Astyanax mexicanus: one gene and its partners. The protein of the gene in region 2 purifies or fractionates together with the protein of the main gene of each other region. This does not show direct contact. Links are inferred from orthologs where the notes say so. Each region holds a gene or a part of one and is shown on either strand. Other genes may lie near its edges. The genes, in order: gtf2f1, hnrnpub, rps29 and hnrnpa3.

The links.
Region 1: the proteins of hnrnpub (region 2) and gtf2f1 purify together in Homo sapiens (affinity purification with western blotting; 3 studies listed by BioGRID, with this or other methods). This does not show direct contact. The link is inferred for Astyanax mexicanus from reciprocal best matches to the Homo sapiens genes HNRNPU and GTF2F1.
Region 3: the proteins of hnrnpub (region 2) and rps29 fractionate together in Homo sapiens (co-fractionation; 3 studies listed by BioGRID and IntAct, with this or other methods). This does not show direct contact. The link is inferred for Astyanax mexicanus from reciprocal best matches to the Homo sapiens genes HNRNPU and RPS29.
Region 4: the proteins of hnrnpub (region 2) and hnrnpa3 fractionate together in Homo sapiens (co-fractionation; 3 studies listed by BioGRID, with this or other methods). This does not show direct contact. The link is inferred for Astyanax mexicanus from reciprocal best matches to the Homo sapiens genes HNRNPU and HNRNPA3.

Annotation. Positions count from the first base shown.
Region 1 is NC_064426.1:8,389,129-8,397,097, forward strand, and holds the start of gtf2f1 (general transcription factor IIF subunit 1), read right to left. Parts: upstream 3,005-7,969; 5' UTR 2,809-3,004; intron 1,472-2,808; 5' UTR 1,418-1,471; coding exon 1,406-1,417; intron 1-1,405. Other genes in the region: ighd (titin), read right to left, coding at 5,997-6,196, 7,557-7,841. UniProt on the Homo sapiens protein: TFIIF is a general transcription initiation factor that binds to RNA polymerase II and helps to recruit it to the initiation complex in collaboration with TFIIB. It promotes transcription elongation.
Region 2 is NC_064408.1:59,824,977-59,831,802, forward strand, and holds the start of hnrnpub (heterogeneous nuclear ribonucleoprotein Ub), read right to left. Parts: upstream 3,004-6,826; 5' UTR 2,837-3,003; coding exon 2,386-2,836; intron 1,051-2,385; coding exon 936-1,050; intron 1-935. UniProt on the Homo sapiens protein: DNA- and RNA-binding protein involved in several cellular processes such as nuclear chromatin organization, telomere-length regulation, transcription, mRNA alternative splicing and stability, Xist-mediated transcriptional silencing and mitotic cell progression.
Region 3 is NC_064408.1:74,140,138-74,147,142, forward strand, and holds rps29 (40S ribosomal protein S29), read right to left. Parts: upstream 3,004-7,005; 5' UTR 2,923-3,003; coding exon 2,861-2,922; intron 810-2,860; coding exon 710-809; intron 556-709; coding exon 547-555; 3' UTR 444-546; downstream 1-443. UniProt on the Homo sapiens protein: Component of the small ribosomal subunit. The ribosome is a large ribonucleoprotein complex responsible for the synthesis of proteins in the cell.
Region 4 is NC_064418.1:32,177,225-32,184,915, reverse strand, and holds the start of hnrnpa3 (heterogeneous nuclear ribonucleoprotein A3), read right to left. Parts: upstream 3,009-7,691; 5' UTR 2,907-3,008; coding exon 2,901-2,906; intron 1,478-2,900; coding exon 1,355-1,477; intron 1,263-1,354; coding exon 1,116-1,262; intron 941-1,115; coding exon 730-940; intron 642-729; coding exon 552-641; intron 21-551; coding exon 1-20. UniProt on the Homo sapiens protein: Plays a role in cytoplasmic trafficking of RNA. Binds to the cis-acting response element, A2RE. May be involved in pre-mRNA splicing.

The DNA of each region.
Region 1 (7,969 bases), on a different chromosome or scaffold from region 2:
GTGCACTTTTTTTTTTTTTTTTTAAACTTGTTTTTTTTTTTTACCTTTTTATTTAAGATAAGCAAAGCATATGGCTAATTTCCTAACTATGTTGGGAGTACCTATTCCAACATAAATGATGAAACTTCTAGAATACACAAATAAAGTATAGTAAAGGAAACTCATTTGTGGGTCCGTGTTTACAGCAACTTTTAACTTGTGAATAAGTCACAAATACAATTTAAACATGAACATTGCTTGTATGCAGTAACGACTAGAAGTGTTTTCGTAACATTCAATAAAATTTAGATTTTCACCGAAAACTATTAAACAAAAGTTGTATCATAAACCATAAAACTTATAGTAATTTGAGTTTCAATTTCAAGTTTTTTTAAAGACAAATACCGTATTTTTACACTATAAAAGGTGCACCGGATTATAAGGCGCACTATAAATAAACATAAATTTTCTGGTCTATTTTCATCCATAAGGTACACCTAATTATGACGCATTATGCGACACTAGTAAGGATATGGGGTGTTGCCATGTTTTCCTTCTAATACACCCAGTGGAGAGACATGTAAAGCAAGCAAAGTTAGATAAACAAAACTGTAATTCTTTATAAAATAAAAATCAAATTAGCACTGGATGTTTATCTACATAGATTTTTAGAAACTGATCATTTGGGTGAGTAATGTGCTTCCGTTTATTAACAGTAAGCTTAGATTTCCACTAAGGCTGGGTGCAGCAGCATTATCAATAGCCGCTAATCGCCTGTAAACGCTTCACTGAGGAACCCTAAGTGTTCTGGTAAGCCAGGGCGATATTATCTAGCTGTATAAGAGGCACCAGATTATAAGAGATGGGTGTGGTTAGTAATGTACATTAAAATATCAGAAAAATATAGTTACTGAAACATCTCAGATCGCAATACATAAATATTGAATTATTGCAGAGCTCTACCTTAAGGAGTGCTCACCAGAGGCAGAGTTGGTGACTCCTGCTATAAAGATGAAACTTTAACATTTACTGGAGTAATATGCTACCCCTGGGTATATCTACTTTAACCTAAATACATAGTGTGTGTACTTTGTCCACTGCTACCCCTCACAGCTAGACAGTGTAAAAAAGGATTTGAGCAACCACAAAAATTATTATCAAAAACACACTTTTCAACAAAATACAGAATCACCACTGAAACTGAAAGAAGCTGGAGTTAGATCTTTTTATGGTGGTGGTGACTAAAAGCCTGTGCCCAAAGCTGCAATGACTCATAGGTCCCTGACATAAGTTATAACACAAAGTTTACAAATATGCTGCCAGATAAAAGTATCATATACATTTCTGACAACAATATGTACCTAGCTTACAACTATTTTATCATTATCAAACACCATTTCATTCACATAAATAAATTACTCATTACCAGTGAAGTCATAGCGGCAGATCTCCTCTTGTCGTTCTCTCAGAAGCGAGTGCTGTCCGTCACCAACTGATGAGTATAGAAAAGACTTATTAGAATTTAAAAATTGTAGAATCACTGTTTAATCCTATGAAATACCCATTTTCAATACTTATGTTTTAAAAATGTAATTTACAGCTTGAAATGTTCTCAAATTCAGAGGTAAATACTGTTCCACAGCACTGTAAAGGTAAAACTCTTTGGATACTGCTATTGTATTTCTCAGTTTTTAGTCATTTGAAAAAAGCAGGTTGCTCAGTTTGACAAATTTCACACCATTCAGGCTGTCCATCTCCCTTCCCCAGTCACCTTGCTGTGTAGTGGTGGTGTAGACGAGAAACCTGGACTGCTTTAGACCTGAACCATATAATTTTAAGTGTGGAATCCAGGTTCTGTTAAGGATCTGACAATGTCAGGTTTGAATAGAGGCCTTGTGGTAAGCATGTTAAATACAGTAATTGCTCATATCAAACCTAGTAGTGATACAAAGGACACTAACAGTTCAAGAATATGTGCAGACCATCCTGGGATCACATGTTTTCTTTTATGGCAGGGCTTCCAACAGGCATTTTCAGCAGGATAATGCTCGTCCATGCATAGCAAGGCTTTCCCAGAAATGTCTTTGCCAGAGTGGCCGATGGAAGTTGTGAACATTTGTGGGCTGAAGCTGAAACCTGTATGCATCCTAACAGGGTACTTGAGCCCCCTTTTAATTGTACATGTTTGCTTTCTGTCAATAATTTAATTCTGTTTCACTAATATTGTCATTTTTACATACACTTACATGTACCATGTTTAATACCATATCTTATTTACTTATTTTTTTTAAATATACACATCTATATATAATATACATATCTACATCCAATAAAATGAGGCTTTTTATAGTCTTATTTTTTTAAGTTTTATGTATTATGTAGATTACCTTTTTAGAGTCATCATGACTGAAAAAGATCCCAAAGAAAAGATCTCCCAAACAGTGGTGTGATTTTTTTTTCCTCCCAAAAATATAATTCATGCCATAGAGGATTAAATAAAAATGTAAATGTCAGAATGACAAATAAACACTCAATCATTGGAGTTGTTTTTATGGTTTATGCTGTAGAGGCTTAACTTAACTAGCAAACTAATGTGTAGAAAAACAAAGCATATAAAATACTGAAATAATACAGCACAACCACTAACCCAGCAAACTTATTCCAAACATGAGCTGTATTTAGCTTAATGTGTGTACCGGTTTATTTAACTGATAAACGACATGTAAATAAAGAATAAAGCTGTACATATATATATACACCAAGAGACTCCGCAGCAGCACATTAAGGATTATTAAAACTCATCAGGTTAATAATCCGCTGAAAACTCACCGGACTCTCCAGCAGCCGCTACCCGGCGAAAAGCTCAACAATCCCGGCCTTCAGTTCCCGCAAAGCCGAGGCTGACCTCAACACCAGCAGCAGCAAAATTCTCCTAAAACAGAAGCAAAAAATCGTGTTAAAAGAAACGAAGCGACGCGAGAGAAACACAGAAAGAGACACGGAGCTGCTCACAGAACCGACCTGCAGCACAGCTCTGACCGGCCAGCAGCTCTTTCTCCCGGCTACAGCAGCGCGTGGAGCGGTGGGTTCGCACCGCCGCCTGGTGGTCTGGAGCAGCGGCCTGCACAATTAGGCCCAATCTCATTTCACCCCATGGCCCTACCACTTACCCCTACCCCTTCTTTTCTAGTGTAACACCTAGGGCTTGATTATTTTCCTTGTTAAAAAATATGATAATTACTATATTACCATAGTTTAATATGTAGTTTCAACATTTTGTGGCCATTTTCTTTATGACAAGCATTAAAAAAACGCTAGTGTAACAGTGTTAAAAATGCGTTTTTAATATTTAACAGATCTAATCAACTAAATAATGCATGTGCATGTGTTAGTTAAAAGCATTAAGTGTAATTAGTTAGTAATTAGTAACTCTGTTGCTAATGCTCGCTTATTCTGTCTAGGCTGGCTAGCTGACAAATTCAAAATTAGCACAAATTCTAATCCAGCAAGCTACCTATTGAGCCATCTACTACTTTCATCTACTGTTTTTTCCTTCAAACTGCAGACACACAGTCACTGTGCTAAAGGCACTCTCTCTCTCTTTATCTCACTCACACACATAAAATATAATATAAAACTCAGTTCAATTAAATAAACTTAAGATGAATAAGGACCTGTAAAGTTAATTAAAAATTGTCAAATATAAAAGATATTTTGAGGTTTTGGTGAGCTGTTTCCACAATTTGAAACTTAAACTAATGTCAGGTTTTCTGAATCAGAAAGCTTGTGAGTTTACATTTTTATTATTTTAAAATTTGAATTTGTTTTATTTCTTTATTTATCAAATAAGTTTTGTTTTATTGTGTTTTTTTTATTTCCATGTTCTTAGTTTAATATTATGCATTTTATCATTTATCATTCTTATCATTTTACGCATTTTTACGTATATATTTTATTCATCTACATTAAATATTGGCATAAAATATGTATTTATTTTATTTATTATGTTTTTTTTACTATTTGATTCCTTGTTATTTATAATTAAATATTTTCAATCCCTTTTATACTGTAAATGCTGAAGGTTACCCTCAATGTATTCCCAAGTGAAAATAAAGGTTGATTGATTGATTGATATTTATTGTTGCAAACCCAGCTTTTACATAAACAATAAACAGAATAAAGAATAAAATAGCACTGCTTTTCCCTTAAATGAGCTGTGTACCTTCACAGTGTGAAGGCGCAGTCAGTCCTCTCCGTCAAGACATAAAAAAGCTGCGCTCTTAAGATGCCAGTGAACAAAAGTCAGCATGCACCTGCCTCTTAAAGGGAATGAATACTGCAACACTGATTGGTTTATTTCACATTACGCCCAAAACACACTCATTTGAAACTGTGCAGGACACGCCCCTAAATCCAGCGGCGCAAAGCACAATTAACTAGTGCGCTATAGGCCGCTAAAATTGGGCCCAAGTTCTGTTCTCGCCAAAATAGGATAATTGTTTTATGTATTGTAATATACCGCATTGTCATTGGGGATATGGGCGTGGGCGTCTTGGCCTAACAGTCAGAAGCGTACCTTTATTAAATAATGTCCTCCACCACAACAAAATAAACTTACACAAACATGATAGCCTTTAGTCTCTGTAACTAGAGAACCATGGGTCAGTCCTCGCCTCAGCCTCCCTATGCCTGTGTTTTCTATTTTGTGAGGGCTGATATTGACACTTTAGCCACCTCTGTATTGGATTATATTAATCACCATGCAGAAACAGACATACCTAAATCAGAAGTTGGATCAATGCATGAATAGGGAGGTGCAGCTGCTAAAGGATTGTAACATCACCTTCAGAACAGGTGATGCACATGCCTACAGCATATCCAGGTCTAATCTGAGGAAGGGCATTAAAAAGGCCAAGCTCTGCTAAAAACTAAAGATAAAAGAAAACCTGACCAGATCATCACTGATTACCAGCACAACAACTCAACACCTGTAACTGCTCATATTTGTTTCCTAAACGAGCTAAACAACTTTCATGCTTGCTTTAAAAAATACATAAGTACATTTGAGGGTGAGCAGTAACATGACTAAAAAAGTGGGAGTGGGAAGGAGCAGGTTTTAAAAATCAGTCCTGTGCAGACCTCTAATAACATGTTTTAAACCCACCTCGGTTGTAAGCATAGGCGTCGCTAGTTCTTTTAAGAGGGGCTCAAGCCCCCCTAAAATGAGTCCCAGCACCCCTAAATGTGATAGCAGAAAGTTTCTGCTGTTTTTATCAGTGTCTCTGATAAGCTAAAAATATATTACAATCTTAGAAAGTAGATCATTAAACAAAAATTGCGGAATGAAAACACCCTAAAAAAGGCAAATGGTAATTCACTTTCTCTGCACTGAGTACTCTTTATGCTGTTGTTGTTTGATATGATGTCTCACCACTGATACGTCCTGTGTGTGTGTGTGTGTGTGTGTGTGTGTGTGTGTTTGTGTGTGGCCAGCCAGTCAGCCATGGTTATTGGGTTATTTTCTAAAGTAAAGAGCAGGTTCAGGTGAAATAATAAGTTTAAAAAAAAAGTTAAAAGATGGAACCTAATTGCTCAGCATGTTTGTTGGGTACTGATCACCCCTAAACCTCTGTTCCTAGAATCGCTCCTGATTGTACCTGTGCCAACCTACCTGTGCTTTTTTCTACAAATACAGGTAATTACAAATATACAAATATATGTATTATATAAAAAATTACAATACATCCATACATTTGTGTTTTAAGATAGTTTAATGGAAGAACAATTTTATTGATACTAAGCAAAAGTGGAGTGATTTAACACAGGCTAGGAAAGAAACATAAGCTAAGCAATGTTGTTTGATTTGCACACAGCATCATGCAGCAAGGTCATGTTTTATTTAATTATTTAATATTTTATCATATTTTTGTTTTCCACTCCTGAACTAATGCATGCAACAGTAAGTAATAATAAAAGTAATAATAATAATAATAATAAGTGAGGCTTTGTTTCTTTAATTATTTAAAATCCCGTGAGTGAAACGGACGTGCTGGACGCGCAGTGTTCACTTTAACCAGCGTCACTGAGCATCCGTAAATCAGAGAGAGGAGGAAGAGTACGATGAAGGCACACGCCATGTTCCACGTCTCCTCAGCCGTGTCCTCTATGATGGCATCAGACAGGTTCTCATTATAGTATATATTCTGCTCAATAATTTCTGAAAAAACAAAGAATATATTATTTATCATTTTGTTCCATTCAACCAACAAACACATCTTAAGGTATGAAACAATTTGGGGTCGAACTTTTAATTTTGAAACTCTCCACACATCCCAGTCCAGTACCCATACCCTCTTCTTCCACTGCCATGTCTTTGCAATGCGTGCAGCATGCATTTTGCATGGACTTGTTGAAAAAATGCACTGAAGATATTTTGTCTCAATGTATGTTTCTGCATTAATGTTGCATCACATGAGTGTACTAATAAAACCCTTTATCATGACAGAACCTGGCTTTTGGACATGGGCTTTTGCTGAGAGGAGTCTGGATTTTCCTTTTTGACTTTGGTACAGAGCACACAGCACCTGTTTCTTTCAAAAAATATCTGGAGTACTGATTCACCTGACCACAAAAGACATTCATTTACACTGTGTGACGATGGATCTATAAAATCCCCTTCACGTGCATGCTCATCAAGCCATGTGCAATGTGCAGTCACTAAACTGCAGTAGGAAAACACAACTAACCAGACCAAAAATATTAACCTTGACTCTGACTTGCTTTTACACTTTATAGCTGTAAAAACTACTTACCATGATCACCTGTTAACCTCACCTGATTGAAATAACATCATAATTTATTTTCCCTCATTACTATACTTAAATTGTCTCCACCCCAATTTTTCGTAATGTGACCAGGAAAAAAAACATGAAATATCTTGGATCGACTAAAAAAATTGACTAAAAGTCAATATAAATAAAAGTAAATTAAATATACATTAACATGCATTTTTTCATTCAGTTGAAAGTGTTTTCTTTCTTTGTATGATGTTTTACATTGTAATTTAATATTGAAGACAATAAGGCTAAACAGGAACAGGAATTAATTTGTAAAGAAAAAGTGTTAAGCAAACCAGAATATGTTTCTTACTTTTCTAATTTTTCTAAATAGCACATTTAGCATTAAGCACAGATCTGCACACTCTTGGTATTTTCTTGGTCACTTGGATAGTTTTCTCAGTGTTTTGAAGGAGTTCCTGCAAGTGCTGAACAGTAGTTGCTGCTTTTTCTTCATGCTGTGAAGCTCCAGCTTATCCCAAATCAAGATCTGAGTTGATCAGGTTAGGTAAGGTATTTTGGAGAACTAACACCTTTTTTACTATTTATTTTTACTTTGTAAATCTAGTTCATGTCCAGACTTTTGACTGGTACTGTACTTTTTTCATTTACCATATTTAGCTATTTTGATTTGTCGGTGTATCAACCTGAGGTACGATTCAAAAACACATACTGATATCTGAGGTTTCAGGGAGGTAGAATACTTTTTAAAGCGGACGATTACCTGATGCAAATAATTACCTTCTTTGGAAATGTTTTGAGTAGAAGAGCCAGTGACGTGTTGAACCAGACAGGTGTATTTAGATCCAGGTGCCCATTCGGAAGCCAGGACATGCAGCTGACTTTTAACACTGAATTTCCCGTCAGGCCCTTTGGCAGGTCTGGTGGTGTGTTTGTGCGGTACTTTCACACCATCCAGCAGCCAGGTAATGTTAATGACAGATGGGCTGTAGTCATACACCAAACAGACAAGCTCATCGCGGGCCTGCATTAACTCCACTGCTGGGACAGAGTTAATAACTGAGGCTAGAGGAAACACAAGGGAGTGAGAAATGAAAAAAGAAGTAATTGGAACACATCAGTAAACCTGTTCAATCAAATGATATCAAGCCGGATATGGATTCAAGGTTAGCTTTGTCCATGTCATTTACTGC
Region 2 (6,826 bases):
TCCTCAGACTGTCTTCTGGAAAGGTCAAGACAAGCCAGGACTTCAGAGATCTCCACTGATATACTGTCTAACTTGAGACAACAGTAATACATTTTTAAAATAAAAGCAAAACCTTTTTACCTCCAACACTCCATATAAATAAGAAATTACTGCTAAATCTTGCAGAAAGGGTAGAACAGTACTTACCCAGCCAAAAAAATGGCGAGAAACCACTGTTAAAGAACAAATCAGTCTTACTTGTGTTCTCTTATACACACACACAAAGACACACAATGAAAAAAAAAACAAACAAAATAAAAAAAACACCAAAAACAAGAAATGGAAGACCGCAGCACACGTTCCTGAACAGCAAAAAAAAATCCTGCAAGAAAACATTTATTCAGAGAAGACAAGCTAAATGCAGCATGCAAACAAAAGGCACGAGTGAACGCTGAAACAATGCCCCGACCATCCCTTCCCGATCATCTTCTCCCACACTGGGTCATTATCAGAATACAACACCTAATCGCCCCCCAAAAACATGTGATCGGCTATATGACACGCTGCAGGTCTGAACATAAACGCCCACTGCCCACCCCACCGTCATGAGACAGCTGCTACTCTCCTGTTGTCCCTTTGAGCCAAAGGGATGCTTTCACAGCCATACGCGCGTACAACTGCCAAAACAGTGTGTGAGGAACAATGACAAGTCATGATGATTGAGACTAGAGGTTACACATCTGATCAATGTCTTGAGTTTGCAGCCTGTTCAGAAGGATACAAAAGCACTGCAAGGTAAGGTTTTATGAGCCAAGGATGACCCTCAACTGGCTTACACTTTATTAAAAGAGACATGTGAGGGTGTTTTTCCTACAAGTAAAGCATTGGCTCTTAAAGCCAATACATATTAAAAGTGGCACTTCTGGGATGACGAAGGCCATTACTCCCATCCTTACCGGCTGTATTTGCTTTCTTCAATAAATTCAAAGTAGCCCCTTCCATGTTCCTCCCGGCGTCTCTTAACACCCTTCTTATTCTTCTGATCAGCATTGTTGTCTTTGTCCGCATCTCCTTTGGAAATAAAACAAAGAGTGATGAAATGCTCGTGCGTGTTGGACCCTGGTTTTAAGGGTGGTCCCACACGACTAGGAGTTCTCGGACTCCTCCCGCCCCAGTTACACTCAAGTTGACCACCTCTGATCAGACAGAATATGTATTTAAAATAATATAAAAATGTATAAAAAGATGTGCATTCATGCTGTGTGTACTACTGTTAACTGGCCCATTCGGGGAGAATGAACCAAATGTGAGATCTTAACGTGTCTCTTCTTCACATGTGAGTGATGAGGATGAACAGCAGCTTATATTTAGCTACGCTAGTCCCTTTTACTCATACTGCTGAATGAACACGATCAAATATGTGTGGGGACACATTAAACTAGATAAAATCAACTTCGACGGCCACAAAAACGGCACAGCCATTAACCTAACCTAACTAGTTAACGTAACTCACAGTAAACGATTCTTGACCTTCTTGCTTCATTACAAATTAGCAGTTAGCTTAACTCTGCTAATACAGCCAGCTCCTTCACGGCCCCGGCTAAGCCACTTCAGACTATGCTAAGCTACAAAAACCCAAATTAAAACGAACAATTCCCTGCTCGGGTTAAATAATTAAACAATAGCCACTAAATCACCACATTACCTTGAGTTTAGCTTTAGCTTTCTAGCTAGCTATATAAGATCGTATTAACGTTATGTTACATACGGATTCGTGGAGATCGCTCGTCGCAGCAGCGCCAGGGCCTAGTTAGCTAACCCGCGCGGCCCGCCGGATAACGTTACCCTCTAACCGAAATATATCGGAGAGGCTAACAAAAGACCCTATAACCTGCTATTAATCCCCGTGTTGGACGTAGAAACGCGAAAAAACAATTCGTGCACAGTTTTGTAGCCAAATATTAAATTTCTAGTACTGCAAAAACCGGCAACCTATTGTTTCGGTCGGACAGCTCTAGCTAACGGGCTAACGCTAACTAGCCTAGCCTGACTAGCTCATAAAACAATAACGACAGATGGGGTTCGCACACGACCGCTGAGAGGAAACAAAAGCTACAGACGAGCTGACTATTCGAGCCAAAAACGACTATACTGATACTAAAATACCAAATAAACCAACCAAACTCCTTACACAACGAACTACCTAAATAATTCATTAAAATCGAACCTGCTTTTTTTCCTCTCAATATCTAACAAGCCGGTAACTATCTATCTACTAGCTCAGTCTACAGGGCGCTAAAGCTGCAGAGTGTTGCTAGGTTAGCGGCAGTCCCGGCCGGCGGACATTAATTAGCTGGTTGGCTAGGTTAAACTACGAGCTTCAGAATCGGCTCCTGATGCACTCACCCTCTGTTGGCTGGGACTCTTGCTCACCGTCTTCATCACCGATCTTATCTGCCTCGTCTTCATCCTCGTCGTCGTCTTCCAGCGCCTTGTCCATGTCGACCGCGGCGTCTCCGTCGTCCTCCTCGTCTTCGGCCATTTCGTCGTCCTGGCCGAGCTCGTCGAAGTCGGCCGCTGCGGCCTCCTCATCCGCGCCGCCTCCGTTCTCCCCCTCGTCGGCCTCCATGCTCTCGCCCCCTTCCTCACCCATCAGCTCCGGTTCGAGCTCGGCGCTGTTGTCCTCGGCCCCGTTCTCCTCGCCGTCCTGCTCTCCTCCAGCCTGGGCCTCGGCGTCGAGCGCGGCCTGCAGCCGGTCCATCAGCTCGGCCTTCAGCCCCTTGTCTGAAAGCTGGCGCTTCTTCAGCTCGTCCTTCAGCTCGTTCACTTTCAGCTTCTTCACGTTAATCGCACTCATATCTGCAGCCTTAAAAAAAATCACGATTACTCACAGAATTCACTAGTATAAAACAGTAACGCGGAACGCGCGCTCTCTCGGATGGTTCTTCTTCAGGACGAGGCGATTCAGAAAGAGCTGCTGGGATTCACTTCAGCTGCGCCAAAGCCGCGGTGCTTCTGGACGGAGCCTACCCTCATAAACCCCTCCCGCCCGGAAAACGGGGGAGGAGCGGTAACACCCAAGGTGACATCAGCTCAGAGTGTACAATTACAATTACACACACACACACACACACACACACACAGAGCGTAAAATCAAGGAGACATGAAATCACCTAATAGATCATACACATTAATCAGTATGTAATAAATCAAAACCAGCTGCGTGACATACAATATAAAATATAACTCACTTTAGACACGTTTACATTAACCTGTGTGTAACTGGGCCACTCAGCGAACGATAAAGGACAATGTGTGACATTCAACCTGTGTAATTTATTCACTGTAGTATTTTTAGCTGATATTTTGGTTAGTTCTTTTGTAACATTATCATTATTTAATTCAAAATCACTGTTTCTATTAATAACATGGTTATTTTAAAAAAAATCCTAATGAATGTTTAAAACTTCTTTACTAAATAAAACTTTAACATTTAATTTGTTGCAGTATCACATATTGCAGAAGTATTGTAGCATTATTTTAGGGCTTGGAGGGGATTACAGTAGTTAAGCTGATTCAGTAGCAGTAGGTGTGTGTTAAAGATGGTCTACATGGTCTATGAGTACAGAGGATTCTTTTTTTTACTTCTTTAATGAATGAACAGATAAAAAAAAATAGAAATGAAGCTTAAAACAGACAAAACCTCCACACACACACACATTTTGCTCAACCATTCAGCACCAAAATAAACATTATATCTGCAGTAGGGGTATGTCTTATCATACACAATAATATTGTCTTAATTTTAAAACAATGACAAAATCCATATTGTGAAACTAGCTTTAGTCTGTCTTAAAAGCAACCTATTTTGTATTTGTTTTGCTATTTACTGTAAAACTTTAATGTTATTTTTTATATATTTTTATGTTTGCAGTTTATGCGCATGCACAAAATATTCTCCACAGTAGTATTTTGGTAGCTAATTTTATTGTTGTAGTAGCACATATCACAGAAACACTCTGAATTATTGTAACATTATTTTTAGGGCCATGTTTCCCTAACCTAATTCGGAGCCCTTATTTCTTGGAGGGGTTTTACAGTAGTTAAACTGATTCAGTAGTAGTAGGTGTGTCTTAAAGATGGTCTACATACTACCAAAATATTATCTTTAGTAGTAATATTATTAGTATTGTTATTAGTATTATTAATATTACTCTTGAAAAAAATCTAAAGTCTTAAAGACCCAGGCATTGATTAATTTTTTTTTTTTTTTTTTTTTTTTTTAGGATTTTTTCCCTGGTTATAAAATGTTGAGCTATTGCAACAATGGTTTATCAAGTCATAACTTTTTAATTTGAACAAAGTCTAATTTTATGTTGTAATGTGTGAGTATAACAAATACAATTCTTAAAATGTACTTTAAGGGAGGATAACACAACAATGTGATTTAATGTCATTTATGTATTTATTGAGAAACGATACTGAACACCCAACCCCCAGTGTGAAAAAGTGATTGCCCCCTATCTTTCAATAGCAATTTACACTCCCCACCCCCTTACTTGAAGCAGTTACTGCAACCAAATGCTTTCTGTATCTAGTTGTTAGGGTCTTATGAATCCCTAGAGAAACTTTGGCCTACACATTCTTGCAGAGCTACTTCAGCTTAGTGACATATTTAGGCCTTTAAACATGAACTGTTCTGTACTCCCTCAACATTTCAGTATTTAAGTCAGGACTAGGCCATTGCAGATGATTTTCCTTTTAACGGATCGTTTCTGGTAATTGGTAAAGTTATGATGAGAATGAACACTGCTCTTTGTTAGCGGTGATCATTCCTGTCACTTACTGGATGTTTTAGAACATTGATATTGGATATATTTTATGAGGTTGTCTACTCCTGGGATGGCAGACTACTGTTTCAAAACTTCTCCACATGGACATGCACATTTCCTTACTCTGACATATTTATAGTGCCAGTATCATTCTGATTAAAAGGCACAAAGTAAGATTTATCAATCATTAACTGAACTGATCCTAATAAACTCCTCATTTTGGTCACATTACATGGAAATACAAACTATTTCTCATTACTTAAGACAACTCAATTGATATCTTACACACCAAGTCCACTATAAAATCACATATATATAGTAAAAAAGGTGCAAAGATTCAGAAGTTAAAACAGAGTAAATCCATTTTTTCTATGCTGCTTAGTTTGAGTTTATTTATTTGTACAGTTTGAGTATTATTTTTGAGTCTCTCAAAAAATACCCAATAATTTTTAATGTAATTTTGAAATGCAAGAAAAACTCTGTGTGGCCAGAGCACTCCTCCTAAAAATATGTTTAGCTCCTCTGTGTTTTTATTTACAATCTGAGCTATTTCAATAGAAACCTGACTATTGTTTTTTTTTTACAAAGTTTGTTCACAATATTTTTGGTGTCTTCTCACTGTCACATAAAAAATGTTGTACCTCCTACAGAATTTTTGCAAACTATTTTATGATATCATTAGCGTGGCATTTAGAGATTCCAGAGATATGCAATGCTAAATTGCAAATAAAAAATTTTGCTACAGTGGATGTCTGAGTTCATACAGAAGATTAATCATCATAAAACAGAATAATTAATTAATGCACAGAAATATTTACACATGCAAGTTTCTTCATGTGGTCAGTTTAAAATGTAAGTATTGCATTTTCTAAAGAACAATTGAGAGCTCTTTTTAACAGGCGATAGACATGTCTCTTTTGTCTTATAGGCCCAGTACCTGGAGTAATAATAGCTTGTGATGGCTCATCGCATTAGGGTATTCATGTTTAGTGAAACAGGGAGAAGACTGAGCAATTAGCACTTAACAGTAGAACATGCAGTTGAAGCTAGAGGAGCCTTAAGCTGACATTCAGGCACAGGTTTTGTTTTTTTGGTACATTTTCACTGGTTTAAAATAACTACTTAATATTAATAATCTCTTCATAGTAAAGTCAGTATCAACAGAACAAATATATTGTAATGCTCTGGTCCAGAAAACTACAGTTAGAGCCTTTAAGAATAAAAAGTAGAAAACATCAATTATTTTCTCAGAGAATAACATAATTTATGACATATTTTATTATGACATTAAATATTGCTCTGTTACATCTGCCACAAAGTTATTATAACATTCCATAATAAGTAGTAGTGGTAGCATGAATGTTTTGGGTGCTTTGATGATTCAGGGCCTGGGTTAATTTTTAATAATTTACTGAATCAAGAATTCTGCACCAAAAATCCAGTAGGTGAATATGCAGCAATCAGTTTTTGATTTATAGCTCAGTCCCAGCAGAGGTATGCAGCAAAACTGAAGAAAAGGTCCACCAATTGATATGTTGTGGCAGCATGCTAAACAGAAAGTGTATGCTTGAAAGCCCTCCACTGTTACTGAATTAATTATCTTATTTGCTTTCATTGAAATGCATTTTGCAAATAAACCAAATTAATGTTCTGGAAGTTTGTTTGGTATATTTTCAGCAGTCATCATGTCTCTTCTAAATATAGCATATCTCATTATAAACAAACAGGGCTTGGTGAGATGAAGATGCAAGCCAACGTAAAAGAAATACATTTTACCAGCCTTCATGCAATTGTTTTACACTGCTACAGTACACACCATTGCAAACAATGACTAAAACATGAGAATTAAGTTATTCCTTCTGCCACAGCTGAATTAAGTTTTTTTTCTCTTATGTAATGCAGTTTGTGCAAAAATAAGTACTAAGTATCCACATAACCATTCTGCTATTTTAATGGGGAATTCTGACAGTTTTGCTAAATTACTGAATTACATAGTTACATATGTATAGAGTCGT
Region 3 (7,005 bases), about 14 Mb from region 2:
GAAGGCCAAAGTAAAGTAATAAACTAATTATACAATTAGAATTGACAGATTTGGCTTCAAGTGTGATGTACCCATAAATCTTGCAAATTGCTTTAACCCCCTCAAATTTAACACTTGGTTAGTGAAAGTCTGAACAGTCAAAATATGAAAAAAAAGCAATTTAGGACAGCAACTTGAGACATGCAACCCTTTCTTGAAAATATATTCTAGTTGGTACTCTTAAATAGCAGGTCACAAATTAAACAATTGATTCACTGCTGTTCACTTCTTATAGCAGATTTCATTAAAGCACTTCAATGTTTACATATGCAGCCTAACAGAAAAGTAGCCCAATGCATTACATGACTGTTACTGTGTAGCCCCTCAAATGTTGTGTGAAGAACGTCAACTAATCATTTTTGAAAACACTCGACCCCAAGTATGAAAACCAAGAACGACAACAGTTTTAACCAGAAAAAAAAGTGTTTATTGGGAATTCCAATTCAACTTCATCTTGGTGGCTTTGGATGAGTTGTCCACATGGCTGGTGCTCAGCAATCCAAGCACTTAATCCATCTGAAATAAATTAAACAACTATTAAAACATCTGAACCATAAGTAACAATAGCTTTTACATTTCCTCATTTTTCCCCAACAAAAGGAGTATTATGTTACTAACAGGACAAAAGCATCCCACCCCTGGGCAAAACAATGAGTAAGGGAATACTTGCCTTTATAAAGCCGATGTCCTTTGCATATTGTCTGAAGCACTGACGGCACATGTTGAGCCCATATTTGCGAATCAGACCATGTCTGTTTGAGCATACACGGCTGTAGAAAAGAAAAAAGGGAGGGGAAAGCGTTTAGTTAGAAAGTCAACATAACTTAACACCCACAACTGGAGGTATATATTTTTATTTAGGTGCACAGCAACACTGAAGCATTTAACAGTATTACTGTAAAACTGTCAAGTTATACATTTAGTGCACAAAACCATGTAGCTTACTTACTGTGTTTACACTTCGCATTGTTTACTGCAATGTACCCAATGTATGCTCTATTAGTGATTACTTAACACAGCTGCATTCAACATCTATATAGCTAGTTCAATAAAGATAATCAACATGCTATCTACCTTTTAATAATCTATAACATGCAACCTATATATGTACCGCTTTACAATAACAATGAAAAACACCTCACAAATGCACTTTAAATAAGAAACTCGATTATGAATTCTTTTAAATGTAACAATTGCTCATTCGTTTTTGTCGCACATGAATTTGACTTAGTCTGGTCGGGTTGCATTTATTGATGAAAACGTGTTTATTATTCATGCAAGTGTATCCAATTTATCAGTCATAAAGAATGAGGTTAATGTCTTTGTCATGGTGTATAAACAGTGTTAAGTTTTAGTTTTTCACTACAGTTTAGTAAGTGGACTAAATAACTACTACATCCTGTCATCAACTACATGGGCTGCATCTTTTCGCACTTCAAAATAATTGGTTTCTGGAAGGTTATTTATGAATTTGACTGAGAGGATTATAAATAAGGGTTAATTTAGTGTTGGAGTAAATAAATTATTTCTGTCCGTGTTCATACTGCTGCGTGATAAGGCACAACACAAGTTCTTTCTCCTTCTGGTTTGTGCAAAGGCTGCCTCTGCTTCCTGTAAAATGATCCGAACTCTCTAGAAGAGTGTTTTCACACTGCAGACGAACCGGACCATGGTTCAATCCTGATAGCTAGTTAATTAGTTAACCACTTAACTTACAGAGAACAAGCTAAGTTAGGTGTTTACCAACAGCTAGTTTGGTTCCCTAGTTAGTGTAAAACGGAACTGTTCCATATATTTTGAGAGTAATAAGCGTTAGGATAAAGGAAAGTTCTAAAAACTAATTAATTAGCTAGTTAAGCTAATTTAACCACTGTTTATTTTAGTCACCTCGTTGGGTCGGAACAAAATCTGGCCCTTTATTTCGGATCAAACAGAACAGTCCGAAACCGAACAGTGGCGGTGTGAAAGCGCCCTACACTAGTTGTGAGATGAATGTTGAGTTAGTTAGCTAGGTTAACACTAGCTTTCTTAGCAGTCCCGGGCCGGGACCATCTCTACTGGAGGACTAGGTAAAACGCGGAATCAGACAATAGCATAGTGCCACAATCCCGGATTGCTAGTAAACTAGATGAACTAACGCAACTTAATCTACAGAACACAGCAAATTTAGTTTCCTAAGTATTGTAAAACATGACATTTTGTTGATTGAGTAAATAAGCTTATAAACATTACAATAATAGAAAGTTATAAAAATCCAATTAATTAAGCGCTAGTTCCCCTAATTTAACTTTTTTAGCGGGTTACTTTTTAGGGTCGGACCCAAATCTGATCTTTAGGCTCGGATCAAACAGAAAAGTCCAAATCCGAACAGTGGAGGTGTGGAAGCGCCCTACACTAGTCGGGAGATGTTAAGTGGCTACCTAGGTTAACAGTAGTTAATCCAGCAGATATAACGTTGCAATAGTAAAGCCTCAGATACCCGGATCATTAGCGAGCCCGTGAGAACTGAACAGTTAACGTCGTTCTAACGCGCAGAAAATGCTCTTTATAAGTAGTCGATTTAAGACACAGAACTCCTGCTAATGTAGAATATGTCCGCTGCTAAATAAATCCAGTACTCAGCGATGCTGTTAGCAGCTAGCTAACCCCTAGCCGAGCCCTGGCGGCTAACCCTAGCCGAGCCCGCCATGTTAGCGCGGCGCTCCTCCATGTGCTCCTCGAGTTTCTCAGCTCTAAACAAACATCCCGGGACCCGGAGCGCGGATTCCCCACCGCACTGAACCCCACCACCCACAACACGCGCAGCGGCCGCCCTACTGACCAGGATCGGGATCCCTGGCCGAATTTCCGCGGGTGACTCCAGTAGAGCTGCTGGTGGCCCATCTTGTCTCTCTCGCTCGGGATGTCGAAAAGGAAGGAGCATTAGCGCGCATGCGCGAATAAACGGCTCTTCTTCTGCCGTCCCCTCACACGCTAAGCTGTGGAGGTCTGCCCCTACAGCTCCCCCTGTTTTTCAGATACTGGTTCATTTTCATTTAATTAAAGGAGAGTATCTTCAACCTCAATGAAGAAAAATAAACACTGGATGTAACCATAGATGTAACCGGTCATATCTTAATTAATGTGTCATTTTGCTTTCATGCATGTGCCATGTGCAGCTGTGGTGCAGCTATGCAGCTGTAGCTGCAAAAACAGCAAAAGGCCTTTTTTCACCTCCTCGAACTTAGCATGTACTACAGACCAGCTGTTTACTCCCCACTCCAGCAAAGGATGCTCTACATCTGAGCTGCTAACACATCCATTTTCCTTTTATAAAGCTACAAATCGTCTCTCAAATATGAGTTTTTTGTTGTTGGTGAAGAAGGCGAAGTTTATACACGTAACAATGTCCGCATGTAAAGCGTTTCAGAGACAGATTCATTCACATTTCACACAGATACAGGTCACTTACATTTGTGAATGTGAACCTTGAAGAAAAAAAATCAGATTTGAGCAACGTGGCTTGTAATGTGAACGCAGCCATAAAAATTAGTTTAAATTTAAAGTTATTTAGTTTAGTTATATTTAGCAAATATCTATATACATAAATATAAATATTCAAAGAGAACTAAGCATTTTTTATGTAATGTAAATGTGTAAATTAATATACACTTCTTATTTGGTTCAAAAATGTCTCGAACCTTAATACTCACAATCCTTTTGTTACTTGTATACACCCTCTTTTGATAATAAATAGTTAAATCTCTTTTGTATGTACATATATCTTTCCATGTTATATTTCTTTAATAACATTTTATTTACTTTCTTAGTGCTGTAGAATGCATTTATCATTTATATGCATTATTAGTAGTATTATGTTTTAATGTAGTATAAATACTACTTATGTGACATTGTTTGCAGAGGAAAAACACTCAAACTCTTAACAAGGCTATATTAGGTTATAGATTGTTGCTCCTACACAAATACCTTGTATCATTTTGCACTTTTTTGACCTAATTTGAATCTCGCAGCTGTTCTTTACATTGTGTCAAGATTGCATGATGAATAGGGGAATAGCAATGGCTATGCTGAGCTCCTCCAAATGTCCCTTTTCTGAATTCTCATTTTTCATCCATGCCAAGGTAAAAACGGCTAATGAAGTAAAGTCAAAAGTAAATTTTGTTAACTATGTTAACTATTCACATTTAAATATAGAATTTTCAAGTAGATGACATGCAGAGTTTAAGCACTATTAATTAAAACTGATATGACATGGCTACTGGCTATTGGGTAATACTGCTGATTTTGAATTAGCAAGTTTTATTTTATATTGATAGGAATTGACATCCACAAATATTTTATGGTTTGTCTGTTCAAGTTCATTTCATTTGTTGATAAATCCATTCCTGCATTCCAGGCCTGCTACACATTCCAAAAAAGAGGTGGGACAGTAAAATATTTCTCATTTTGTAATTCCTTCTTTTTTCATTTTGTGGTTGCCATTCCTTCTCAACAAGGTCACCAAGCAATTATGTGTTTTAGATTTTGTCCTATTCTTCCTGCAGACACAACTTAACGTGTGCACCAGGACTGCAGGCATTTTAGTCAGTAACATTAATTACTGATTACTTTTTATGTTTAATTAAATTGTTTTATAGACAGCCACTTATGCACCACATTGAAACTGATTACACCACTGACTTCTGAGAGCTAAGAACACCCATACATTTGTATACTGATTCTGAATAGCTTAAATGCATTTGTGAATACTTATATTCTAAAAAAGGTTAAAATACAGTTATGTCATTAAATGTGAACTCAATTATAGATGAATTAAGAGCTCTGTGAGACTTTATGTTTACTTTTCTTCTACAGTGTTTTTCCGGCCCAATTTTGCCATATAGTTTTGCAGTTTTACTTTAGTAGAATTTCAATATTGATCTCAGATTTTCACTGCTGTAACCAAAAACAAACAGAAACTGTCTGGTGAGATCACTCCAAAGTCCAAAACAGAACATAAACACATAACTACATAGTGCAAACCAAGGAGAAGTATTCCCAAAATAAATGTCACATTATTACCAGTGTTTTAGTAGTATTCCCAAACATTAGGCCTTTGGTCTAATAGGGTTTAAAATCTGCAAAGGCTGATTCTATTTGTATAGCTTTAGTCTAATATAAAACCACTCTCACTAATTCAGACCATAAGCCTTCAATCAGGTTTAAATAATAACCTGATATGGTTGTTGCTACTGTATATTGGAAGACTTGTAGATTTCAAAGCCAAGTGTTTGGCCATAATGTTCTTATTATGTAACAAACCAAAAAAAGAATAACTAGTAAATCGAAAATCACATGCTTATTCAGTTATAATTTTTGTCAACTTGGGCACCAGCTGCTGTAATGTGTACTGTAGTTTAAGCTGTAGTTACTGATTAAACAACATGACTAAAGTGTGGATATGTAGTTTAGTTCGCAACCAAATACAGCCCCAACAATACACCTTGGGTAGTTCATATTTTTCTCAGAGTATACAAAGATTTGACCTTTTTTATTGGGTTAAATCAATGCTTTTATAGTGTTTGTCATCAAACACCCAATATTAGTTCTTAGTGTCAGGTTAAATTCCTGGTGGATGTAACACAATCACCATTTACACAACCTTTGGTTGAAGTGAAGTGTAATTTGCAATAAATGTCATTGCAGCGCAGTAGGACGTAGGCCAAACAGCACACATTTACCAGAGCTGGACAGATAGTGTCAGTCATTCTCCAGTCATAAACCAACATGCATCAGCATTATTGGTTGGAGTTAACTGTAAGTGATCTATGATTTTGACTTTTAATGTGAAGACCATATTACCAAAAACATTTTTTCCATGTTAGGTAAATTATGATTGGTTGTGTTGTGAGGCTAATTAAGGCCTCTTAGAGTGTGTACACTGTAACACAATGATTGTTTATTGAACACTTTGGGCTATACTTCTACTGGAATAACCAGTCTAGCCAGCTGAAGCTGGCAATAGCAGGAAAAGCTGGTTTGCCAGCTTAGCTCTTATGCTTTTGTTTGAGTTGCCAGTTTTGCACAGCCAACTTGACCAAGATGACCAGCCTATGATAAGTTCATTATTTTTTGCATTGCACATTTAACACACTGCTGATTACCACACTTTGGTTCAATATATTTTTGCATATATTTTTATTTCTAAATACTGTCCCTATATTTTTATTTTTATACTTTTATTTTTTTTTTATTTGGTCTTTCTGACTTATTTGCAGAGCAGCTTGGTAATGTTAGTCATGCAGGTAGATCAGATTAACCCAAAATTATCACAACTCAAATGTATTGTAAATGTAAAACACACATTACTGTTTGCTGGTGTAAAACTAAGGAATAAGTATAGTTTCGCAATCTGAAGTTTTTCTGAATATTATCAATTTTTGAATATTTTTAATTCTGGGTTTTTTAGATAAAGTATCTTGTAGTGCATGCTTTTTGTTTGTTTTTTGCTTTTTTATTGGGCAGACATAATACAAGTACACAATTTATGTCACACACACAACATATATCGCCACTATCCAATGAAATACATGTATCTAAAAACAGCGTCTTTACAGGAGAAAATGTTCTTAACTTTCAATGAAAGTCAAGGTAAAATAATTTAATTCAGGTCATTTTAGAAAAGAATCAAGAAATTTTGACAGTGTAAAGGACTGCTTTTGTGTTCAAATCATGTAGTAAACTAAAAACCTACAAATGATAGGTCCAAAAAGTCACAAAGATACAGCATAAATCATGAATGGGGACAAATATATGGAACACAAGTAATGAAAGGCATACATAATAATAAGTAATGCAGTTAATTTGAAAACTTCAATGCTTTATTTTTTTTTAATACAACACAGCAACACTTAATGTTGAGTTCAGAAGGTATATTACCTTTTATGCTAAAGTGTATGCACTCTCTCTCTCTTTCTCTCTCTCTCA
Region 4 (7,691 bases), on a different chromosome or scaffold from region 2:
ACCTCCTCCGCCACCCCGATCTAAAAGGGAAATAAACAAAGGAGCTGAAAAGTAATCTAACCTTTTCATGTTTCCTTTTCTGCTGTTTGTTTACACTAAGGCAATAAACAGGAAATTTGACTTTTTTTCCTGAAACGTTTCTCTAAAACAAATCTCTAACAATTCTTAACAGCATTTAACAATTATACTTTAAAATAGGAGTGAGTATGTTTTTCTGGTGTTGTGAATAGTGTATGCAATTAATGAACACTATCCAGCTGCACATTTTGCTAAAAAGATCAATACTACTTTGCATTAGTAGAGACTAAAAAACAAAAAGTAATTCAAACAAGTATTGTGATGTACATTACATTCAATTACACTATATTTTGTTATGTCTTATTATATAAACATAATTGTATGCATTTTGAGACTATCCCTGAACATTATATTATCTTTGCCATATCACACACCCCAACAGAATTATAGAAAGTGCCTCACACACAAATGTACATAAATTATTTGACTATTGATGATTTGTGATATGATGATTATTATGAGGTTGTACTTACACCTCTGGTTAGAAGCTGCTTGCATTTCCTGTTTTGGGAGTGCTTTCCTGACTTCACAGTTATGAGAGTTTATGGTGTGGTATTTCTGGGCTAGAGAGAAACACAAATGGGAATTTTTAGTGCTTGTACTAAAAACAACAGCTACAACAAGGCAGATTTTTCGTGAATATTTTCTTACCAACAATTTTATCCACAGTGTCATGATCATCAAACGTTACAAAACAGAATCCTCTCTTTTTCCCTGTTGGCCGCTCCTCCATAATGTCAATGCTCTCAATCTTCCCATAATGCTCAAAGTATTCTCGTATGTGATACTCTTCTGTGTCTTCTTTTATACCTCCGACAAAAATCTTTTTTACAGTCAGGTGGGCCCCTGGTCTATTCGAGTCCTAAAAACAGTAACAACATCAAGAAAAGGTATTGCAAATTATGTAGGTTTTAAGGCAATTATGTTTGAGTTCTGGAAGCGAAATCAGTGAACTATAGATGACAATCTTTAGTCTTAAGAATAATCCAAAAACTACTAATAATATTGTAGAGAGTAAAAACAGTGCATCAAGATACCTCTCGGGAAACAGCCCTTTTAGGCTCAACGATGCGTCCATCAACTTTATGGGGCCGAGCACCCATTGCTGCATCAACCTCGGAAACACATGAATAAGTTACAAAGCCAAAGCCTCGTGACCGCTTGTTCCCTGGGTCCCGCATTACCTGTGGAAGGAAGTAGTTAGCAATTAAAGCTTACACTGAAAGAAAAAAAAATCTAACAAAATGCCCCAAACAGCACTGCAGTTCTCACTAACCACACAGTCTGTGAGTTTGCCCCATTGCTCAAAGTGAGCACGCAGGCTGTCCTCTGTTGTTTCAAAGCTGAGACCGCCAATAAACAGCTTCCTCAACTGCTCTGGCTCCTTGCTGTCATGACCCTGTTGACAACAAGAAAAAAATATTAAGAAACATTACAATTAGCATTAAAATTCCCAGGTTCCTATGAAATGTAAATGCATCTGTAACTAATGTCCATTAGCTATTACAGCTTAAAAAAAGTAGTTAATCAGCAGTCATAGGCTTGTTAGAAATGTTCTGTTTGTACAGATCCCCTGAAGTACTGTTGCTAGTTATTCTAAATAATACTTAAATAAAACTTAAATAATTTAATTAACAGGCCCTCAATTTAGTAATATGCTGCTTGAATTACATAAACTTGAATTAATAAACATATAACCATTCCCCAAATTTAACAATCCAGTCTGTCAATTAAATTGTATTTACCTTCGTTTTAATAGCTAGCTAAACTGTTCCTTCAACGCTGAATTCTTTCTATTAAAAAAACCTTTTAATTTCCCAATAAAACCCGTCAATTAAATAATAAATAAGTAATACATTTAATAAATTATTTCCTCTAAATAATAATTATCCACTCCCTTATTTCCTTTATAGAAATAGTTAACCCTCCAATTATCCAGAGCATCCCCTGTAAACCATTGGTACAATTTGTTTATAGAGAAAAATAATTTTCTAAGCTGATACACTGGGAGCAGGGGCTTCGTGTCCGAGATGCTACAGGTAAGGGTTTCAGTTGAGCCATTTGACTCCGGTAAATTTTATATGGATGATTTTGAACTGACTGAGAAACGCTACATTTCGACACAAGCCATGTTCTTTACAGGAGAAACCGGTCGCTGAACCTGCTGGCTATCTTATCAGCACTGCCCTCATCCGCGTCTGGAATATTCCAAGCGGGTTCTCCTCAAACGCCATTTTAGAGCTGTTTTCCTCTCTCCACCATATTGTTAGCCTGTGTTTTCGTGACTCTTGTGTCATACTGGAGGAGCAGTCTGGACTTAGACTACCGTTTTCCAGTTACTTCCTCGCCAACATCACAGCTTGACATTCAAGCCGAAATGCAGGAGATTAGCGAGCTAGCCGGACCGGTGTTAGCTGTGGGCACTAACTATGCAGGAGTGAGAGTATTCACTTTCCGTTTCGTGATTTAACCAAAAACCACAAGCAGAAATGTACTATTCGGCTGGTTCAACTTCCCCAGTTTCTGAATTACCACTGAAAAATATTCATGTGCAGAGTTACCTTAGCTACCTAGCTCCCTTTACCTAAATCTGGCGAGAACCACCCAGCTAGCAAGCTAACCTTAGCGTAGCTAGGTAGTAACTAGCTTAGCATAGCTAGCTAGCTGTAAACACGACAGCCAGCCAGCACAGCAGAACCAAGAGCCCAAGCTGCCACCTGTACTTTACTGTACTGCGTCTTTAACCTAAACCTCTTATAATATTTCTAGTTACATGCCATGCAATAAAGCACAGTGATACACAGCTAATAAACGGTTATTACCTCCATGTCGCAGCGTCTGCACCCCTCCTTTTCACACCAGTGCTGCTGCTGCTTTTCGGGGCTGTAACACCAGAGACCACCACCAGGGGATCGAACAGTCAGTCACCCAGCGCAGCTGCTGTCTCTGAAACACTAATAAATATTAGCTGTTTTAGCTTGTTTGTTTGCTCAGCTTTCAGCCTTCTTCAGTTTTTTTAGGTAACTGTTCCTAAAAGCAGAAAAGTATCTAAATTTCATGATGAATCAAGCAGCAGAAATGCTACAAAATTATTTGGGGTTTTTTTCTTGCAAAGGTGCCATTTTGGTGATATGAGGTGTTTTGTCCTTCAGTTAGGTTATTACGTTATATGTTATTTCTCAACTGGTTGTATAATGAATATTGCTTTTATTCTTGAAAGTGTACCAAACAATATTGTGGCGTCTGTGTGTGTGTGTGTGTGTGTGTGTGTGTGTGGCTGCTGTGTGCCTGTCTCTGTGTGCCTGTGTGTGAGTGGATGTCAGGTGTGGGGCCTCCCTTTTAAGTGGGGTTATGCAGAGTGGTGATCTACCATCCGGTAGATTCCTAGTTGGTTTAGTGACCTTAGGGCTGTTTATGCTGTGTGAGCAGTTGGGTTTCGCTCTCCTAGCCTTGTTAAAGGCTATAAGTAAGTGGCAAGCCTGTTAAATAAAGAGCTGTTGAGTACTGTAATGAGTCTAACGAGTCCTCCTTCCTCTTCCATGCCACATTATAATAATGTATATACAACAACATCCTTTATCAGTCCAAAGTCATTGGAGTGTTTTCTTAGAAAATCGTACATCACTTCATGCTTCCCACTGCTGACAACTTTTATGGAGAAGTGGATTTTCATTTTCCAGCAGGACTTGGCACACTGCCCACACTGTCAAAAGTAGAAATTTATCTTATATAATATCTAATCCAATCTTCTGAGACACTGGTTTTTGGGTTTTCTTTGCCTGTAAGCAATTCATATTTTGAACTAAATTACTGAAATAAAATAACTTTTCAATAATATTCATTTTTTTTAGATGCATCAGTACTGTATCCTCAAAGTGAATAAGTAATTTAGAGCGTATGACACTGGGAAATGAGAAAAATAAAGAGACAGACAGAGTAACATCCTGTAACTTATATATATATATATATATATATATATATATATATATATATATATATATATATATATATATATATTAATTTTTTTTTGTTTTAGATTTCAAAAGTACTAAAATTGGCCTTAATACGTTGCTTCATTAAGGCTATTTTATATTTTTAACACAACACTTATTGAACAATAATATTTTATTTAAATTTTAGTGAAATCCACATTTTATAGGCAGCCACATTACCTTATGTAAGTCTTAATTTTTAACCAAAAATTAATTTGTCCTCTGTGTGCGCTACGGCCCAATCTCATTTCACCCCTTTGCCCCACCACTTAGCCCTACCCCTCTGTTTTGCTTGTGCAAATGTCTAGGGGTAGCGTGTCCCGATTTTTTTACGCTGGAAGGGTAGGGGAGTGTTAGGGCTACATGACCCTTCAAACGCACACTCAAAAAAGAGGGCTAGAATCACTGGCAAGATAGCAGCACAAACAACCAAGGAAACCCAGAAATTTAAGTTTTCCTTAGTAGAAATTACAATATCTACTATAATACCATAATTTAATGTGTAGTTTCAATGTTTTGTGTCCATTTTCTCCATAACAAACATAATTTAAGATCCCCATTACAGAGGAATTAAGGAATGGACAATAATGAAGACAATGCCCTGCTAGTTAACTAGCTAGTTAACAAGCAACTAGGGTGCTGAACTTTAGCGCTTCACTGCTAAATATCCCTATCAGTGTTTAAAGGGATATCCCAATTCTTTAGTTAATGTTTTTAGGGGGACAAAGTTACAAGGGGAAGGGTTACACATGAAAACAAGGAGTACAGATAAAAAAAGACATCCTCAACCTGAACTAAACTGGGAAATGAAAAAAAATTAACACTGATGCTATTATTAGCAGTGGAGTACATACCAGCTCTTCCAATCTTGTGACTGGCTGGTTTTAAAGCAGCCAGTCAGGTTTAGGTTATTGTGAGTCAAACAACAGTTAGGAATTCTTTACAGGTTATACTAACCAGTGTAGCATATGGGGCTCACATGGGTGAAATGTGGGCTAGTAGGTGTAGGCTCAGAATGGGTTTGCACACAAATGGGCTTCATTAACAGACACCATCATTACCATTATTACTGCCCACCTCTATCCCTATCTAGATAATTTATGCAGTGTATGAACCAAGATGGGGACCATGTTTTGTCACCTGTCTTACATTAAATAGGGCTGTGCATTGGCAAGAATTTGATACAGGGTTTACGATTTAAAATATTGCAATGTATTGTGATACTGTAAGGCAAGACTATATTTTGTGATGGTTTAAATACATTTTTGGGAAAATTCCTATAGTATAAAATTCATATTAAATCTGAATTACAACTGGATCTGGATCTAGCAAAACGGACTACCCTTAATATTCACATGTAAACTAATAATAAAAACATTTTTGAAAAACGATACAGTATTGAAAAATAAAATACTACAATACTTCGATATATCAATATTTATTTCACCCCAAACACTGACCCTGGTGAAGCCTATCAGTGACATCCACATGAGGGACCAACCCTGTGGACAAAACCTTCTGGTTCTTAGTTTTGCTACTCATACAGGCCCAATATGAGCATGTTATCTGGGAAAAGCCTACACTTGTTGATATAAAAAGGTAATCCTGAATTGACAACTTTTACAGTTTATCATGTTTGTTTCTTGGCCTGTGGTTTCCCAACTGCAAATATGTAGTTTACGTGATCTTTCCAGTTTCCTGTTTTTCTTCAACCTGATTCATTTCATGTATTAGTTATCAAGTTCATCTCAAAAATAGGCAGAACCTGTTCTATTGGTTGATGAGATTTTATTTTATTTAATGTCACCACTATCATATTGTGTTCTTACTGTTTTTTTTTTTTTTTTGGAGCTACAGCGCTTAAGCTGAACTTTGGACTCAGTAACTGGCAATATATCTGGCTTTTTAACTAGCCTTAGTTATAATTCCCACATGACCTAGTTGGACTGAGAGATTTTGCAATAGCTTGTAGATGGGGCTGTTGGATAAATTCATATTATATTGGATTTGTTTCAGTATAATATTAGGATATATTTGTAAACTGTGTGTTAAAGTTAAAATGGGAGTCAAGAACTCAGTAGGCCAACATAATGGAGACAAGCCCTGTGTGTGTCTGTGCTTGTATGCAAGCTATGTTTTACCACAAAAAAAAACAATACTGCACATTGCGTCACTCTGGGTTGATTATTACTCAGATACTCATTCATTCTCACTTAACTATAAAAACACAATAGTGAGTTGTTTGTAAGTTTAAGCCTTCCGTGAGAGAGCTGTGTACAGAGCACTTCCTGAAAGATGCAGGAAAACTGGTTTTCAATCTTGCTGTGATCTTTTTACAAAAACCTGGGAACATAAACCTGATGGCCTTGAGTTCCAGACACGTAGCACCTGGACTGCTGCACTGGAGCCTACAATAGAGTACTGCGCCACCTGCTGGATGCTTACAATCCTCCTTTCCTTTAGACATATGGTGGCCTACAAGCTGTTTACTTGAGACCCCATTCACACTGATCACAGTATTTGAGTGTTTTAGATTTAGTATGTGATATCACTTCCTTAATTAAGACTCTAATTCTACAAGAACTTTTCTCTTTTTTAATTTGATAGCAATGTTAAATGCCCAGTACATAAATAACGCCAAATTCATGACTGGTGAACCAGTAAACTGATGTATTTGTTTATTTCAAAATGCTATTTATTACAAAAATATGAAATAAAAGTCCCACACAAAGTACAAGCCAAACAATTTCAGGTTTTCACTTTTATGTCACTTGAAATTGGGTAAAATCTTTTTTTTTTGTAATACTATTGTAGCCTGCCGTAAGTTTTAGTATGCTGTTATTCATTCATGGTAACATGTAATTTTTGGCAAAATTTAGGTAACATCCAAGCCCACAATACTTTCATACACTCATGCTGAAACTCAGGACTCATCGCCCTGCATGCTGGGCAAATTATTCTAGATTTCCCCTGAATCCAGGAGAGTATAGAAACCTAATCGCTGAAATGAACTGCAAACAGAGCAGACTACTGTGAAAAGCTACTACTTGTACTTTTTAAATAAGTGTTTCATCACAATACTTTAAAAGAATAATGTATACTGAATATTTACACAATATATTTTAATGAGAAACTGCTGGAGTCATTTTTATTTATTACACACAGTGATCATCCTTTACTTGTTTACAGGTTTATTCATGTTAAATTGTTAATACTCGCTCACTGGGGGTTCTGTATTCTGTATTTTGTATGTTTAATGTTTTTGCCTGATTCTTTGTCCTGTAATCATGTTTCTGTAAAGCTGCTTTGTGCCAACACCAGTTGTAAAAAGCGTTATACAAATAAATTTGATTTGATGTTTATAAATAATTATTTTCATGTTTCCAACTCAATTCTTTCTCTCTTTGTATGATACAGTCTCTGTACTACAACACTCTGGAAAAGGCGCTGCTGCCTGTCTTATTAACTTATGAACTTATGAAAATTGGATGGCATATTTAAAATGTAACATTTGCTAAATGCAGGTATTTCATTTCTGTATTTTAAAATAGCCTATGTTTTCTTAATATTTATACTCCACTGCAACGCATCCCTGTCTGTGAGTTATAAGTCGCCCTTTTT